Linked DNA regions of Canis lupus familiaris. The protein of the gene in region 3 purifies or fractionates together with the protein of the main gene of each other region. This does not show direct contact. Links are inferred from orthologs where the notes say so. Each region holds a gene or a part of one and is shown on either strand. Other genes may lie near its edges.

Region 1 (3,934 bases), on a different chromosome or scaffold from region 3:
GGCTTCCTGTCTGTAAAATGCACTGAACAATAAAAAACAAGTAAACTTAAAAAAAAAAAAAAAAAAAAGTAAACTTGCTACTCCTGGTAGTATACAGTTTTCAGTATGTATCTCTTCTTACCTGTACTATGCTTTACCGTTCCTCCTAAATTTTTACTTTACAAACACAATCAGTCAATGGTAAGAAACCCCATTTCCCCTAAAGTAAAATGGGAAAAGTCCATTTAAGTGGTTTGACAGAGCCCACCTTATTTTAGACAATTATAAACAGAAAGAATGAATCAGATTAGAATGTAGATGAGAAAAAAATATTTTAGGTTAATTCCTATTAATTCAGGTGGTGTTACTGAAGAAGTCAAAGTATGTTTAGTAGATCAATCAGAACATGGAGTTATACAATTTTAAGCTTACTTATTCCAAAATAGGTTTTCTACAAAAAAGAGAAAACCTAACATTAAATGCCAAAATGAGTACTTAATGGTTTGACATCTACAACATCACAATGCTGGTGCTTCTATTCAGCATTCCTAAAAAGCTCTAAGAGGTCTGAAAGGGAGACCCTGCAGCAGATCTCTTCTTTCTACATTTTGCACATTATGTACCTCCAAAGCCAAGGCTGTCTTGTCGTAGGCATTAGGGACTCGCTTCTGGATTACCCTGGCATAAATGGGCCCATTCTGGAGGTTAGGGAGCGGAGTGTTGACGCTGGGTTGGGCATAGGGCCCAGGCTCCGGCCCACCCAGTGGCTGTGGGTGGGAACCCTCCTGGTTACCTCCAATCAGAGCCGATACTGAGGCGGAGGCAGGTCTATACTTCTCGACGTAAGGGACTGGAATCATCCCCCTCTTGCCTTCGCTGTCCTCTGCATTCCACCACTGCTCTTCAGGCTTATCTCGGATTCTCAGGATGTCTCCTTTCTTAAAGGGAAGATCTTCTTCATCATTCCCATTAAAGTCAAAGAGGGCTCGCACATACTCTGCCTCCTCCTGCCTGAGAATCACTCCACTACCCTGCCTGGATCTGGAAACTGGTTCTATCAATGTTGTAGTGTCCAAATAATGTATTTTGTAGAATTCCAGTAAAGCAGGCAATGAATCAAACTCTTGATCTCCTATTCGGAGTCTGGAGGGGCTCACCCCTGGAAAAAAACAGAGCAGGCTATTATTTAAGATGTAGTACACAGGAGATGAAATGAAGTTTTTAAGCATTTCCCAAACACATTTGGTCAATAATCAGAAAAAAAAAAAAAGTCTAGAAAAGATAACCCCTGTCCTAAACAGAAATCATACTCTGTAGTTAAAACATACCCTAGAGAAAGATGCCCATCACCACCTGCAGTAGAGACAGAACAGAAGGCCATAACAGATCAGGCCAGTCAGGGCATGTTTCCATACTGGATCAAAGACAAAGCAACATGGAGACTTTTTATTGTGCTATTCATTTACAGAGTAGCATAAGCTTTAAGGTTTCCTTGCAATCTTCTTTTAACCTCAGGAAATGTAGCAAGCTCTACTTTTTCATAAGTCCCAGCAGCTTTTCCAAGAAGAGGTGGGGAAAACTTGCTATCTATCTACACCAGGCTCATACATTCCTTCTCTTCACATCTTCTAGACAATTCCTAAGAAGAAAAAAGTGTTTATTTTTAAGTGAGTTCTACATGCCCAGTGTGGGGCTTGAACTCACAATCCTGAGATCAAGTCGCATGCTTTATTGACTAAGCCAGCCAGGCATCCCAAGACTATCTTTTTAAATCTATGATTGCTGATCTCAAATTCATTTCTGACAGTTACCAAAACAAACAAACAATCTTAATTAGGCAAAAGAACCAAGGAGCCTAAAAAGAGAAATCAAGAAGTTAACTGCTTAACAATCAATTCCTACAGGTCTTCACTGAAATAAAACATGTAAACCATACTGTTCCCTTTGAAGCAAACAGATCATGAAAAAAGGTAAATAAGGATACTTGAAAAAAAAATAAGTGTTAAATTTCTCAAACTCCAGGGTTCCCTGGTTGGCTCAGTCGGCAGAGCATGCAACTTTAAAAAAAAAAAAAAAAAAAAAAAAAAAAAGATTTTATTTATTTGAGAGTCAGAGAGCACAAGCAGGGGGAGGGGCAGAGGGAGAGGGAGAGGGAGAAACAAGTTCCCCACTGAGCAGGAAGCCTGATGTGGGGCTCAATCCCAGGACCCTGGGATCATGACCTGAGTGGAAGGCAGACACTTAACCAACTGAGCCACTCAGGCATCCCAGAGCATGCAACTCTTGGTCTCTGGCATGTGAGTTCCAACCCCATGTTGGAGGTAGAAATTACTTAAAACAAAATCTTTTTTTTTTTTTTTTTAAGATCCATTTATTTATTCATGAGAGACACACACACACAGAGAGAGAAGCAGAGACATAGGGAGAGACAGAAGCAGGCTCCATGCAGGAAGCCTGAGGTGGGACTCAATCCTGGGAGTCCAAGATCAGGCCTTGGGCTGAAGGCAGGCACTCAACTGCTGAGCCACCCAGGCGTCCCCTTAAAACAAAATCTTAAACTGGTTTTTGTGGAGCTCTTTTTTTTTTTTTTAAGATTTTATTTATTCATGAGAGACACTGAGAGAGAGGCAGACACAGGCAGAGGGAGAAGCAGGCTCCCCATGGGACTCAATCCCAGGACTCAGGGATCACGACCTGAGTCAAAGGCAGACACTCAACCACTGAGCCACCCAGAAGCCCCTTCCTTGTTTTGTTTTAAAGGTTTATTTGAGAGAGAAGGAGCACAAGCAAGGGGAAGGGTAGAGGGAAAAGGAGAAGCAGTCTCCTCACTAAGGAAGGACCCCAATGCAGGGCTCCATCCCAGGACCTTGGGATCATGATCTGAGACTAAGGCAGATGCTTAATGCTTGAGCCACCAAGGCACCCTGATTTTTTTTTAATCAGACTTAACCCCCAGGTTAAGCCTTAATCCACATTCAAAATTGAGATATTAAAAAAAAAAAATTGAGATAGAACCTCCCAAATTTTAATGTTTATGTATATATATGTATGTATATATACAAGGTCATAAGTATACATACACAAGTGTTTTACAGTTACTACAAAGCTTTATAACTTGCCTTTTTATTATGAAATTTATAAATTTCTCCTTTTTAAGAACAACTTTTCAAGATTTTATTTATTCATGAGAGACACAGAGGGAGTGAGGCAGAGACCCAGGCAGAGGGAGAAACAGGCTCCATGCAGGGAGCCTGACATGGGACTCAATCCCAGGACCCCAGGATCATGCCCTGGACTGAAGACACACGCTAAACCTCTGAGCCACCTGAGCTGCCCCAAGAACATAACTTTTTTTTTTTTTTAAGAACATGACTTTTAATAGCTATAAAGTGTTCCCAACTTTTCACTAGTGAAAATGCTATTATGAGCATTTTTGTTAATAAGCTTTCCTTCTTTTTTTTAAAGATTATTTATTTGAGAGTGAGAGCACGAGAGGGAGGAGGGGCAGAGGGAAATGAGAAGCAGATTCCCTGCTGAGCAGGCAGCCCAACATGGGACTTGATCCTGAGACTCTGGAATCATGACCAAGCCCACCTCAGACGCTCAACAGACTGAGCCACCCAGGTGCCCCAGTGAAGACTTTTTTTCTTATTCCATTAGGATAAATTCCTTGAAATGCAACTGCTGGATCAAAGGGTAAGAACATTTTATTTTAAAGGATTTTATTTATTTATTCATGAGACAGAGAGAGAGAGGGGCAGAGACACAGGCAGAGGGAGAAGCAGGCTCCATGCAGGGAGCCCGATGTGGGATTTGATCCCGGGGCTCCAGGATCATGCCCTGCCCCAAAGGCAGGCACCAAACTGCTGAGCCACCCAGGGATCCCAAAGAGTAAGAACATTAAGGTTTATATTGCCAAATTGCTCTCCAAAAAGTCTGTACAATTTATACTCCC
Region 2 (3,518 bases), on a different chromosome or scaffold from region 3:
TTTTATCTAAAGGAAGGTTTGTTTTTGTTGTGGGGAGAGAAAGATGAAAGTTGTTTCCTTTGAAAGTTACAGAGCTAGAAAGATCCTTAGAGACCATCTGGTATAAACTAATGGAGAGTTTCAAAACAATTCTTCTTTGTTTTTAATTCACAGATTTTGTCAGAGCATCTTTTTAAAAAAGGAAAGTCATCCAAAGGCATTTACACTAAATTAGAGTTATAGGCTGGAGGTTTTCCAGTAAGATTTATAGACTAGAGGCTTTGTTTATCAAAACCAATTCTATAAAGGAACAACTGAAACTTTATCAAACAATTAACAGATGGAAAGTTTAAAGAAGTAGTGAACAATCCAGACGCCAGGACCTCTATTTGCACTAAATCAAAGCCAGTTATCCACAGGTCTCCAAATGGTGCCCATGAAATGTTACCTATCCATGTGGCGATTAGGAGTTGGCTTAAAAGCCACAGCGGCTTCCCCTTGGTCCAGCTGGGGCCCTCTTGTGTACATGTTGTTGAATGCATACCCATCAGCTGGAGGATACTCTGATACACTGGACTGCTGAAAGAAGAAGATTAAAAGAGTCAGTCTCTAAGACTACTTGAATAACTACTAACATCAAGCAACAAAACCCTCCACCATATTGAGATCAGTTTCATTTTCAAGTGCTTTACCATTATTAACAAATTGTAAAATGGGGGTGGATAAATTTTTGTCAAAGACTTATTTATAATAGGAAAAGTCATTAGTACAATAGCTAAATCATAATTTTGAAAATAAATGGGTATACAAGCAATAAATTCTTTCCTCGGGAATTTCAGTAATAGTTCATTTTGGTATTAGGTAGACTTTAACAGCTTACATAAAATAAAACTGGTTTGAAAACAACAATAGAACTCTTTGCCTTTGAGCTCTATGTTTAAGAAACAGACTTCTACCATTCTAGCATACTAAATATATCACATAAAAATCATCTAAAATCTGTGCATTAAAATTATACTATGTTCTCATTCTTTAAATGTACACAGACCCTATTTTTTTTCATTTTTAAAAAAATGGCATTTAAAAATTTGGCCATTATTATCAAATTTACTGTTGAGGGAAATACAAAAGACAAAAACTCATTGATCTTGACAGTTAATACTCCAGGATAAAAAATACTGGAGTAATTTCTTGTTGCAGTTAACACAATTTCAACATGAGCCTACTGGGTGCTACCAGGAGGGGTAACTGAGGTCTCTGCAACCCAATAAGCACCATGATTTCAAAGCTATGGGGAAAAAAACAAAGAAACAAGACCAAAAAAGATCTAAAAAATATTCATGTTGAGATATTATACTCCTTTTGTGAACTGAAGTATGGCAGAGGCACAATAGAACAGGAAGCATGGAGGTCCTTGGCTATTTAAACTTTATGAACTCATTGGGGCAAAATATTTGAACCTGGAAATGTTTTAGAAAAGTCTTAGATACATGTTTACTATAGTTCATCCTAATGACAGAGTTGGCAGGAGTAGGGATGTGTTTAAACACAGACAGAGTAGGTGGGGTTTCTCCGATGGACTAGTGTGAATGTCAAAATACCCACACTATATTGCTCCTTTAGAATTTATCTCCCTAGAATATACTGCAACACACAAATTAAAAAAAGCAATTTTCACCATTTAAATATCTTAGCTTAAATCATCAACAAAATGAAAAGGCAACTATAGAATCAGAGAAGATGTTTACAAATCATATACTGATAAGGACTAGAAACCCAAATATATATAAAGAACTCATATAGCTCAAGAGGAAAAAAAAAAACAAACAAACAACTAACCAAACAAAAATCCCAATTTAGTTAAAAAATGGGCACAGCTACATCTTTCCAGAGAAGACATACAAATGGCAAACATACATGAAGGGTGCTCAATATCACTAATCATCAAGGAAATGTGAATCAAAATCACAGTGAGACCTCACCTTACAGTTGTCAGAATGGCTATCATTAAAAAGATAAGAGATAACAAGTGGTCAGTAAGGATGTGGGAAAAAAAAAAAAAAAAAAAGGAAACCCTCTATACTGTTGGTAGGAATTTAAATTGGTGCAGCTGTTATGGAAAACAGTATGAAGGGGGGCACTTGGCAGGCTTAGTCGGTGAAGTGTCCAACTCTTGATTTCAGCTCAGGTCATGATCTCCCTGTCATGAGATTGAGCCAGTGTCTGGCTCTGTGCTTAGCAGGAAGTCTGCTTGGGATTCTATCTCTCTCTGCTTCTGTTCCACAGCCAACCCAATCTGCTCTCTCTCTGCTCATATGTGCTCTTTCTCTCTCAAATAAATTAACAAATCTTAAAACAGTATGGAGGTTTCTCAAAAAATTAGAAATAGGGTGCCTGGGTGGTTCAGTCAGTTAAGCGTCTGCCTTCAACTCAGGTTATGATCTCCGTGTCCTGGGATCAAGCCGCATGTAGGGCTCTCTGCTCAGCAAGGAGTCTGTTTCTCTCGCTCTCTCTCTCCCTCTCCCTCTGCTCCTCCTCACAGCTTGTTACCCCCTTCTCTCTCCAATAAATAAATAAAATCTTTTTAAAAATTAGAAGTAGAACTACCATACTATTCAGCAGCTCCACTACTGGGTATAATACTAAAGGAAATGAAATTAGGATTTTTTTTTAAGATTCTATTTATTTATTCATGAGAGACACAGAGAGAGAGAGAGGCAGAGACGCAGGCAGAGGGAGAAGCAGGCTCCATGCAGGGAGCCTGACGTGGGACTCGATCCCAGGTCTCCAGGATCATGCCCTGGGCTGAAGGCGGCGCTAAACCACTGAGCCACTGGGGCTGCCCCTGAAATTAGGATCTTGAAGAGATATCTGCATCTCCATGTTCACTGCAGCATTTTTCACAATATGGAAACAACCGAAGTGTCCATCAACAGATAAATGGGTAAAGATGTGTTATATATACACAATAAAATTTTATTCAGCTATGACAGAAAAGCAAATCTTGTTATTTACAACAACATAGATGGACTCTGAAAGCATTCTGCTTTGAAAAGCAGAAATAAGCCAAACAGGAAAAGAAAAATACTGCACGGTATTGTTTATAGGTAAAATCCAAAAAAAAAAAAAAAATTGAACTTATAGAAAAGTGGTTGCCAAAGGCTGGGGGAAATGAGAGAACTTGGTAAAAGGGTACAAACTTTCAGCTATAAATGAATATGGTGGAGGATCTAATGTAAAACATGGTGAGCGTAGCTGATAACACTATGTTGTGTTAACTGAAATTTGCTAATAGAACTTAAATGTCCTCACCAAAAGAAAAAAAGATAAATATGTGAAGTGACAGATGTGTCAATTAACTAGAGGGGAGGGGGATCCTTCACCAGATGAACACCTTAAATATCTTGGTTTTGTCAACTATACCTCAATAAGGCTGAAATTAAAAATAACAAATCAGTAGCTTAATTAATTCAGTTTATCATTTCCCTAGTTGAGAGAAGAGGCACTAGATGATCAGGCAATTCTTTTTTTATTAAAGG
Region 3 (3,518 bases):
GAAGAGCCACAATCAAAAATAACTCACAAGACACTACAGCAAAAGTACTATGTCTACAGACTTGGCTAGCATTGTGTACATTAAGGAGAAAAAATAATCAAGACTACAGAAAAACTCTCAGCTATGCTTGTTCAAGTTTTGTTTTAAAGTGTTTTCAATTCAAAAAATAAATAAAAAGCAGAGTTTCCAGAAAATATTTAATTGTAGTTCTGCAACTGTTTACTAATAAGTTAGTTCTGTGAAATGCAGTTTTTAAAAAAAACTTTATCAACAATCAAGTTTTACAGAAACAATTATATTAAAAAATTTGGAATCTGAAAATGTTTTCCAATTTAAATGCCACTATGGTGACATAATAAGTCTTCTTTAGCACTTTCTACTTAACATTGCTCTACAGGAAAAAAAAAACAGTAAAACTTTTGTCTTATGTAGATAAAAATCTAAGGATTAATTTAATACAGTCTAAGAACTCAAAGCAAAGGTATTTAAAATAAAAAACAGTTTAGGATGTTCATGCTAATGAAATCAGTGAATCATCTAAGACTGAGAATAATGTGGCAAGAAGAACAATTTGAACTTGTGTAACAACCTTAAAAATTCTTAAAAATCAAAGAAAGAAGTATTCTGCAACCACAAGTTTCGAGTAATTTAATGAAACATTTTTGTAGTTGATTTTGATCTTAAAGAGTACACAGAAACTGATGAAGATCACAAAATAGGTTAGTCATATTAATTACTGAAAATTATACCTCTCAAAAAGTTTTATATAACATAAAAAAAGATGCTAGAGTAATCTGTTTCTTTTTTATGTAAAATCTTAGGCAGCTTATTTAACTTTCCTGTGCTTTTTTTCATTTTTGAGTCAGTAAAATGAAAACACTGATAGCAGAAGTTTCTAGGTGAAAAATCAGTAGTAAAATTGGAATCCCAGAGTAGGTTTCTTGCATGATCTTCAACGTGTTTCAGCTACTGCCTGCTACTACCAAATGGAATCTGTTTAGAGAATCCAAACTGCTTTTAATAACCTATGGAAAACACTAATATTTTACTATGGAAAAGGCTAGCTAGCAAAAGAACTACCAATTGGAGGCCAAATAAAAATTAAAACCAAAACAAAACTGGCTTATTTATCCCAGAGACATGTGGAGATAATGAAACATGATATTAACGAAAGTGTTTTGATATCACTGATAAAAATATTCTTTTTTTTTTTTTTGATAAAAATATTCTAACTTGATTTTACTTTTTTTGCAAAGAGGCCCTGATAGTTTCCAGGCCATTTAAGTAGTTCTGACTGGACATTTAATAAATCAAACAGATTAATATTATCAAATGCTATTCATCTTTATTACAATGGATCAGTTAATGGGTAATCTTTAAAAGTTTAACTGGTGCCAGAACAGTTTCCAGAGAGAACTGAGAACCCATTTAGAGGACTTTAAAAAATGAAAAAACAAAACAAACCAAAAGACCCCCACCTCCCTTAGAAATACACATCTCTTAGAAATAAGAATATATTTAAGCAAGAAGTATAGGGATGGAGGTTAACATTCACATTCAACTACTTCAGAAGAGCATTTATGTTATAAGATATACGTTTGAGTTTATAGATCTTTGTAATAAAAACATTCTTTGAAATTTTACATTTATATTTACAAAGAGCTTTTGCATATAGTCGTTGATCTGTTCTTTCCAATAACATTCTAAGGTTGCTGTTGGGATGTTGATTTTTGGGATGAAAACTGAGGTCTGGGACCTTAGGGAACTGTGACAGAGTGAGGGTGTAAATCCAGATTTGGTGCTCTTTCCACTATACCATAGGCTACAGCACTGTACAATTACCAAGCTTTCTATCGTGTAGGAAAGTTGAAGGTTGAGGAACATTGGATTATCATGGGTTACTTTACTAGAAGAAATAGAATTACTTTAAAAAAAAAAAATCATGTTTGTTCCTAAACTCTCCCAACATTACATTTGATTTGGCTTCCACCAATCTTCCTAGGTAGTTTGGATGCATTTGTCTCTTAAAAACTGCCCTGCTAAGGTAATACTGTTTTCTTAAATGTGATCAATTGTAAAACAGAAAAAAAATATTGAAAACTTTAATGAAAGTTTTAGGAATGGAAATTAAGAAAAAGCAATGCGCATATTCCAGCACAGTTCTGGTAATGAATGTATACTAAAATTTTTACTGACTTTAAGATCTCAGTAATGGAAAGAGAAGAAAGAAAGAAAAAAAAAGGTAAAGGTTTTTAGACCCTAATGATGATTTATCTTGTTTCTGCCACCAATTGGGTAAATTTAGCCAAGTGATTTTATTTTCTTACTTGTAATTCTGGTTGTAAAGTTAAAAATAATATTTAAATGTGGCAGAAAAGGTACAAATGGCAGTATTTTTAGGCAAAGGAAAATGAACTCGGAATAATGCAGAGATCTTTTGTTGTTAGTTTGCTTTCTATTTTAGGCACAATGACCTGTGCAGCAAAGAAAATCAGTTGGAAGCAGGAAAATAAAAGTGACAGGCAACTTTATATTTCTTACCTGCGTACATATGGTACGTGAGCCTCTCTATAAGTTTAATAACAGTTCCTGCTTTGATAATTGGAATTCCAGCCTTGGGCTGCATGTTTTCTTCAAATATTATATTCTCTTCAGAGTCAGGCTCTGCAAATCTATAAACATCGGCACTAGGGAGCCTCATCTGCTCCTCCTTCTCTTCCTGTAGCATCGTCACATCAAGCATCCTTTCCAGTGTACTCCGGTACTGTAAAGATATCAATGCTGCCATCCAATTGTTTTTCTCTTCAGCTGACTTGGCAGAAAATATAACACTATTTTCATCTTTTAAAATTATTTCAAAAGCATGCTTGTACTCACTGGTGTCATCTTTGTCATTAATTTGTACCTTTCTCATGAAAAACTTTTCTTTAAGACGATATTCTGCATTGCTAGCACCAGGAAGTCTTGGCTGCCCATGATTTGATTTACAGCAAATCATTAAGCCATCAAAGAGAAATATGTGTCTCTCATGTTTGGCTCCTACACGTGTAAGAGTTCCTTCCATTATAAATTCATTGCAACATTGTCCAATGTCTTTTCCCTCCCAACCATCAATATTCTTTTGAATCTCGTTCATTTTCTTGATTGCTAGTTGTTTCCCCTTCATTTGCTGACTATAAAACCGACATGCAGATTCACTGGGATAAAGGAAAAAAACATCATTAGTACACAGATGACAGACAATCTAGAATTCATAAAATAAAGGACAATATAAAAGTACATTTTAAAAAGTTGCACGGAGAAGGCTTTCATTAATTTTCCAAATATATTAGTGTTATAAAACTGCACCATTTTAGGAACTAAAGCAACACAGTAGAGACTTTTTTTAGTGCTCTAAAAAGAACAATGAGTAATGACAAAATTCTACTCTATAAATTTAGCTATGGAATGATTATTTCTACCTTGACTTCTAAATATTTAGAATGACAAATATTAAAAAGTAGCCCAATATAGTGAAA
Region 4 (3,518 bases), on a different chromosome or scaffold from region 3:
CTCAATTCATTCCTGATTTTTTTTAACAGAGTGCTTTTCGTGTATCAAGTACAATGTCATGTGTTATTTTAGAGTAGTTATTCTTTTATCAAGTGAAGAAGATCTTTCTACATTCTTCCCCTCTCCCCACCTTTTCCTTAGTGAAAACTGGGTACACAAGCCTCGAAGGGAGAGTATAGTGAGAGAGAAAGTTAATCGATTAAGTTAACTGATATGATCAGCCTTTTTTGGTTTTTGTTTTAGGCAAGTTATTGATTCACTTTCCTGTTTTGTTTTAGGTACATACCTATGTCAACACTACAGGAGTGCAAGAAGAGCGGAAAAACCGCACAAGTGTGCATGTCCCATTGGAGGCGAGGATTTCTAATGCTGAAAGCAACACACCAAAAGAAGAACCAAGTAGTATTGAGGACAGGGACCCTCAGATTCTTCTTGAACCCGAAGGAGTCAAATTTGTCTTAGGACCAACCCCTGTTCAAAAGCAGTTGATGGAAAAAGAGAAACTGGAGCAACTTGGAAGAGACCAAGTCAGTGGAAGCGGTGCCAATAGCACAGAATGGGACACTGGATATGACAGTGATGAGCGAAGAGATGCACCCTCTGTTAACAAACTGGTGTATGAAAATATAAATGGGTTATCTATCCCTAGTGCCTCAGGGGTCAGGAGAGGTCGTCTGACATCCAGCAGTACCTCAGATACCCAGAATATCAACAACTCAGCTCAGAGAAGAACTGCATTATTAAACTATGAAAATTTACCATCTTTGCCTCCTGTCTGGGAAGCCCGCAAGCTTAGTAGGGATGAAGATGACAATTTAGGACCAAAGACCCCATCTCTAAATGGCTACCATAATAATCTAGATCCAATGCATAACTATGTAAATACAGAGAATGTAACAGTGCCGGCAAGTGCTCACAAAATAGAATATTCGAGGCGTCGGGACTGTACACCGACAGTCTTTAACTTTGATATCAGACGCCCAAGTTTAGAACACAGGCAGCTCAATTACATACAGGTTGACTTGGAAGGTGGCAGTGACTCTGACAACCCTCAGACTCCAAAAACACCTACCACTCCCCTTCCACAGACCCCTACCAGGCGCACAGAGCTGTACGCTGTGATAGACATCGAGAGAACTGCTGCTATGTCAAATCTGCAGAAAGCACTGCCGCGAGACGACGGTACGTCTAGGAAGACCAGACATAATAGTACTGACCTGCCCATGTGAGCCCGGAAAGCGGTACATTGTTTGCACCTTTGTGAAGTTTCAAAAAATGAAGATGCAAGTGCTTCATTTTCATTTCTAAACACTAACTCCTTTTATAGACTGATAAGATTTTTTTTCTGACTATTTCATGTGCTTCTTTAACTAAAGGGAATTAACGTTAGAGCAGGTACTCATTAAAGAACACTAATTTCAGTACATACTACTCATTACTGTACAGCAGCATTCCCATTTTCACAGTGCCTATTTAAAATGAGAGTTGAAGTGAGTGACATGCTGGTTGATTGTTATCAATATTCCGGACTTACGCATATCATTCATGTCTAAGTCATGGTTGGCGTTTAAAACATTTTATAAAGCCTCTTGATCATGTGCATTGCTAACAGATAACTCTAGGCTTTGAAAGTAATATTTGTAGACTCACTATTCATGGTATATGGCCTCCAGCATGTAACATGAGGAATCCTTTATTTCATTAATTGTAGGCTTTTTGCCTTGAGCCAAAACATATGTAAAGGAAATAGAAGTACCACACCTCCTTATATACCAGTCAGTTCCTTTGCCTTCTACGTTACTAGAAAGAGTCCTGTGCCCATGAATAGGGTTTGTTCTCGGTGTGTCGAAAGGCAGGAAGGAGTCAAAATTTTCTCTTTACTCATCTCATGATGTCATTTGAAGGGCAGGCCCAGATAATATCTTAATCAGAATTACACTAGACTCCAGAATCAGTCTCAGGTCACTTTACCCAAAAACATTTGGAAATCTGAACCAGGATCTCTTGAAAGTTGCTCTCCCATAGATTATGAACAATAACATTGTTTCCTGGAGGCATCTGGGCCATTAGATTGCCATTTACCTTCAGTTTTTTCCTTTGGTGTTTGGGATGTCTTATTCTGTTGCTTACTGTCTTTTTCAATTTAAAATGTTTGAGTTTGTATATAGTTTTGAAATTGGACTACATGTTCGTTGTTGTTTAGTTTGCATTTCTGTCGAATTGTGGTTTTGAAGGTTCGTTTGGAACTTACTGTTATTCTGTAACAGGGTTGCCCTTGTCCAGTATTTATTTATATGCTGTTTACTTTTCAAGTTGATAAAAACATTCACGCAATTTGAAATTTCACTCGTGTCCATAGGTGATCTCTTTAACAGTTGAGGAAAAAAAAAAAAAAAAAAAAAAGAAGCTACTTTTCACACGCAAAGTTCCCTAAAGGTACTGTGTTTTCTCTGTGGGCACTCTCCCCAGCACTTTAGCAGCGATTCCCTCATCACACGGCTGCAGTTGTTCTTTGCCCGCAGTGGTGTTCCCCCCCTCTGCTGTCCTTTCACTCATAGATGGATCTTTGGTTATCCCTTGATTTCAGTAGAATGTTAGGATCGTGGCCAGCATAGCAGGTACAGTGGAAGTCTTACAGCAATGAGATTGTGTCATAATTTAGGATTTAAAATGAATTGAAGTTTATATAAACTGAAGAGAGACCGTATGTCGTAACTCTCGGAAAGTCAAGAATGTTCCAGTTTCTCAAAACACTAGGGAAGACAAGAGACGGCAGAGCGGAACGGTTAGGTTACTGTTTTCTCTAAATGTTGAGGAAGTTTGAGATCATGATTTGGATCTATCGTCCAGATGTAACTAAGGTCTCAGTCATACAGCACCCAACCTGACCAGTGAATAACCTGATTAATTATGGGACAGTGAGTGGATTAGCAGAAGAGAGTGGGACCATTATAAAGAAAATAAATTATTAAAGCTTGTCGTTATTATTTTCAGTGCCATTGGTTTATGTGCATAGCAGAATTTTCTTTCTTTCTTTCTTTCTTTCTTCTTTTTTATTTTTCTGTGAACCTGGTGCTTACTAAAGTGTTCACTGTGCTCTAAGGAGAGAACATTGGTATTGGTGTGCAGTTTCCATTTTTAATGTATTGTTCCATTTATGCTTTCCTCTGAGTAGATTGCTAATCGTGCCAAATTTATGTGATGGTTTTTGTAACGTGGAATAAGAATTATAATGGAACCAGTACATGTGGTTTTCTCCAAAACAAGCAGTCAAGACAGGACCTCCAGATGAAAGGGCTGACCTACTGATTCATTTTGGAGGTCGGATACTTTATTTTCTTTCTTTTCCTCACCATTTTCATTTTCCTCTGGATTCTAATTAGTTCTTATATATTTTAGGTAGCTCCAATATAATCATTGCAGTTTATGCTTTAAATACTGTGTGCTTTAAAAATGAAAATGGGACCAATTTGTCTGCTAAGAATTTGATTTTAGGTACTATGAGTATTAGGAAGATG
Region 5 (3,518 bases), on a different chromosome or scaffold from region 3:
AAATTTAAAAAACGATTATTTTTTGAGAGAGAGAGAGAGGCAGAGACATAGGCAGAGGGAGAAGCAGGCTCCATGCACCGGGAGCCCGACGTGGGATTCGATCCTGGGTCTCCAGGATCGCGCCCTGGGCCAAAGGCAGGCGCTAAACCGCTGCGCCACCCAGGGATCCCTCAAAAAATAATCTTTAAAAAAAAAAAAAGATAAATCGGAAACCATAGTCGGTGGTTAAACAGGCATTTCCTATCCTAGCTTACTCTCAAGGCTACTCTAGATTTAGGCCCTGTTGGTGGTACTGCAAGCTGAGTCACTTCAGAGGTGCAGGCTCTTTGGGTGAAGCCCAGAGTTTGTTACTCTGGTGTAGATTCTGTACTTTAGAAAAGTTAAGGTGTGGGAGGGAGCTAATGATAAGACAGTTTATTTTCCCCAAAGCTGGTACATTTGCAACTTCTTAAAACATTTCTTAGGTGAAGAGAGACCTCTATAGTTCTTTTCCAAAAGAGGCATTACAGATGGGGTATTAGAGGAGAGCAGAGACTGCACTCCTAGAACTATCTCTGGGAGGGCATTCTGCAGCTTTGTTGGCCAATACATGTTGATCTCTTGAGCACAGCAGAGGCGTGTGGTGGTGTCTGTGGACTGATGCTTTCTTGCCTGTGAATTCTGCAGTGAAAAGGTCCCTATGTTTTCATTTTGGTGCTCAGATGATGATTCCTGCATAAAATGTAATGTGGGTTTCATTATCTTTTTTAATTGGCTTATGTATAAACCCTTTTCTGGTTTTTGTATTTTGAGGGACACAGAAACCTTTGTCATTTTCTCTCTGGGTACCCAGGGAAATGTGCAGGATGCTTACTATAGATTAGGACCAGGAGGAAGAATGTGTGGTGGTTGTTCCAGAGTCCTAAGGAAGGACTGAACTTAAGATTTTAAAAATAAATCTGGGGGCACCTGGGTGGTTCAGTGGTTGAGCATCTGCCTTTGGCTCAGGGCATGATCCCAGGGTCCTGGGATCGAGTCTTACATCTGGCTCCCTACAAGGAGCCTGCTTTTCCCTCAATCTATGTCTCTGCCTCTCTTTGTGTGTTTCTCATGAATAAATAAATAAAATCTTAAAATAAATAAACTCAGACCAGCTGTATCTCTGTAAACAAAAGGTTCCTGTGAAACAGATTGTGTGTGTGTGTGTGTATGTACTTGTGATTTAACAAGGTCTATTCAGGATATTAAATTCTGTTGCAGTACAGACTGCAGAACATAAAACAATATGACAGAACTTTCTTACTACTGAGAATTTAGCAAGGGAAATAATTCATCATAGAGGAAAATGGTTTATTTAAATATTTGACAAACACTGGTATCAAGATTTTTTCTCTTAGAGTTAATTTTCTTTCTCTCTGAAGGTACCCAAGCCCACCAATGGGATCTGTATCAGCACCCAACCTGCCTACAGCAGAAGAAAATCTGGAATATGTACGGACTCTCTATGATTTTCTTGGGAATGATGCTGAAGACCTGCCCTTTAAAAAGGGTGAGATCCTGGTGATAATAGAGAAGCCTGAAGAACAGTGGTGGAGTGCCCGGAACAAGGAGGGCCGGATTGGGATGATTCCTGTTCCTTATGTTGAAAAGCTTGTGAGATCCTCACCACATGGAAAGCACGGGAATAGGAATTCCAACAGTTACGGAATCCCAGAACCTGCTCATGCATATGCTCAACCTCAGACCACAACTCCTCTACCTGCAGTTTCCAGTACTCCTGGGGCAGCGATCAACCCTTTGCCATCCACACAGAATGGACCTGTCTTTGCAAAAGCCATCCAGAAAAGAGTACCCTGTGCTTATGACAAGACCGCCTTGGCATTAGAGGTAAAATTTACAAGGCTGGTTTTTTGGGTCTTTTGACATTTGGTTTTAATTTTGTTTCTACAAAGTAACTGCTCATTTCAAGTTCTATTCAGGGGAATAAGAGAACCGGGTAATTTTGGAAGATCCACTGTGAGTGTCCCACACAACTCTTGTCCTTCCTATATTCTTTGTTTCTCCCAGGGTATAATCTCTCTTAGGTTTACTCTCACAGTAGTTTTGTTTTGTTTTTTAAAGATTTTATTCATCTATTCATGAGAGACAAACACAGAGAGAGAGAGAGGCAGAGACACAGGCAGAGGGAGAAGCAGGCTCCATGCAAAGAGCCCGACGTGGGACTCGATCCCGAGACTCTAGGATCATGCCCTGGGCCAAAGGCAGGCACCAAACTCCTGAGCCACCCAGGGATCCCCCTGTAGTTGGTTTTCTTTCCAATAAGGAAAGATGATGATGGTTAATAAAGATCCATTACCTAAAGATGAAATGAGCATACAGGTAGACACATAGCCATTTGTACAGTTCCATATTTCTAACATCGCGATCAGTTGAGGAGACATCAATAAATGTCTTAGGATTCCTCTTCAGCTAGGCAGAGTTTAAAATATCTCAGACCTTACTAGATTTTTTAATTTTTTAATTTTTTAAAGATTTTATTTATTTATTCATGAGAGACAGAGAAAGGCAGAGACACAGGCAGAGACACAGGCAGAGGGAAAAGCAGGCTCCATGCAGGGAGCCCGACATGGGACTTGATCCCAGGTCTCCAGGATCACGCCCTGGGCCGAAGGCAGCGCTAAACCACTGAGCCACCCGGGCTGCCCTAGATCTATTTTTTGATAGAGACTTTGTAAATTACATAATAGCATGAAATAGAACTTGAGCATTTTAATTGCCAAGTCATGTTCTTTAAATCAAACATTAACTGTCTTTAAAAAAAAAAAAAAAAAAAAAAACTTTTGCAAAGCTTAGCAAGAGTGGTGTTCTGAACCAAAAAGTCCTGAAGGTCAGTGTTGATTGATAAGCCTGTTGAGGGCATATCACAGAACGTAGAAGTTTGATGAGACATCTGGTAAACCTGGAGTGACCATAAATGAGCACAAACCCCAGAAGAACAACAGAAGGACTACTTAAGGGGGAAAAAAGGATTTTTTAAAAATTCATGTTTTTAGAACAGTCCTGTATATTTTTCATGTTTTTTTTTAATGAGGTATAAAATACATAAATTGAGATGGGCCCTAAATATTAACGTGTCAGAACATGGAATACAGTGCCGCAAATCCTAGTTTGTTAATAAGATGTGAAAATGCTTTGTGAGCCACAAGCTACAAGGTAAATATCATTGTAATGTGATTACAGCTGAATACTCTGTTGATATTATTAAATTGCATATATGTTGGAGAAACTGAGGTTACGCTAGTGATCGTTCTCTGTTCTCTGTGTTCACCCCAAGGTCAGAGTAGGGCAGGGCTGCAAGACCGAAGGATGAAGCAATGGAGCCTGAGTCTGATTGAGTCTGATTACTTCTCCCTCTCATGTTGGCTATAAAGGAGTGAGCATCTGAGGCTTGTGACAGGGACCAGGTCTAGGGAGGACCCACATGCTTTTAATGCTTACCAGTGGAGGAATAGGAAAGAAACCAGACTGAATCCTGGCTG

Evidence for each region.
Region 1: the proteins of SOS1 (region 3) and CRK purify together in Homo sapiens (affinity purification with mass spectrometry; 6 studies listed by BioGRID and IntAct, with this or other methods). This does not show direct contact. The link is inferred for Canis lupus familiaris from reciprocal best matches to the Homo sapiens genes SOS1 and CRK.
Region 2: the proteins of SOS1 (region 3) and EPS8 purify together in Homo sapiens (affinity purification with western blotting; 5 studies listed by BioGRID and IntAct, with this or other methods). This does not show direct contact. The link is inferred for Canis lupus familiaris from reciprocal best matches to the Homo sapiens genes SOS1 and EPS8.
Region 4: the proteins of SOS1 (region 3) and FRS2 purify together in Homo sapiens (affinity purification with western blotting; 5 studies listed by BioGRID). This does not show direct contact. The link is inferred for Canis lupus familiaris from reciprocal best matches to the Homo sapiens genes SOS1 and FRS2.
Region 5: the proteins of SOS1 (region 3) and CRKL purify together in Homo sapiens (affinity purification with mass spectrometry; 3 studies listed by BioGRID and IntAct, with this or other methods). This does not show direct contact. The link is inferred for Canis lupus familiaris from reciprocal best matches to the Homo sapiens genes SOS1 and CRKL.

The regions. Positions count from the first base shown.
Region 1 is NC_049230.1:45,559,710-45,563,643, forward strand, and holds the end of CRK (adapter molecule crk), read right to left. Parts: intron 1,139-3,934; coding exon 528-1,138; 3' UTR 513-527; downstream 1-512. UniProt on the Homo sapiens protein: Involved in cell branching and adhesion mediated by BCAR1-CRK-RAPGEF1 signaling and activation of RAP1.
Region 2 is NC_049248.1:15,126,683-15,130,200, forward strand, and holds part of EPS8 (epidermal growth factor receptor kinase substrate 8), read right to left. Parts: intron 559-3,518; coding exon 428-558; intron 1-427. UniProt on the Homo sapiens protein: Signaling adapter that controls various cellular protrusions by regulating actin cytoskeleton dynamics and architecture. Depending on its association with other signal transducers, can regulate different processes.
Region 3 is NC_049238.1:31,204,874-31,208,391, forward strand, and holds part of SOS1 (son of sevenless homolog 1), read right to left. Parts: intron 3,198-3,518; coding exon 2,542-3,197; intron 1-2,541.
Region 4 is NC_049231.1:11,910,549-11,914,066, forward strand, and holds part of FRS2 (fibroblast growth factor receptor substrate 2), read left to right. Parts: intron 1-278; coding exon 279-1,229; 3' UTR 1,230-3,518. UniProt on the Homo sapiens protein: Adapter protein that links activated FGR and NGF receptors to downstream signaling pathways.
Region 5 is NC_049247.1:30,732,829-30,736,346, reverse strand, and holds part of CRKL (crk-like protein), read left to right. Parts: intron 1-1,400; coding exon 1,401-1,866; intron 1,867-3,518. UniProt on the Homo sapiens protein: May mediate the transduction of intracellular signals.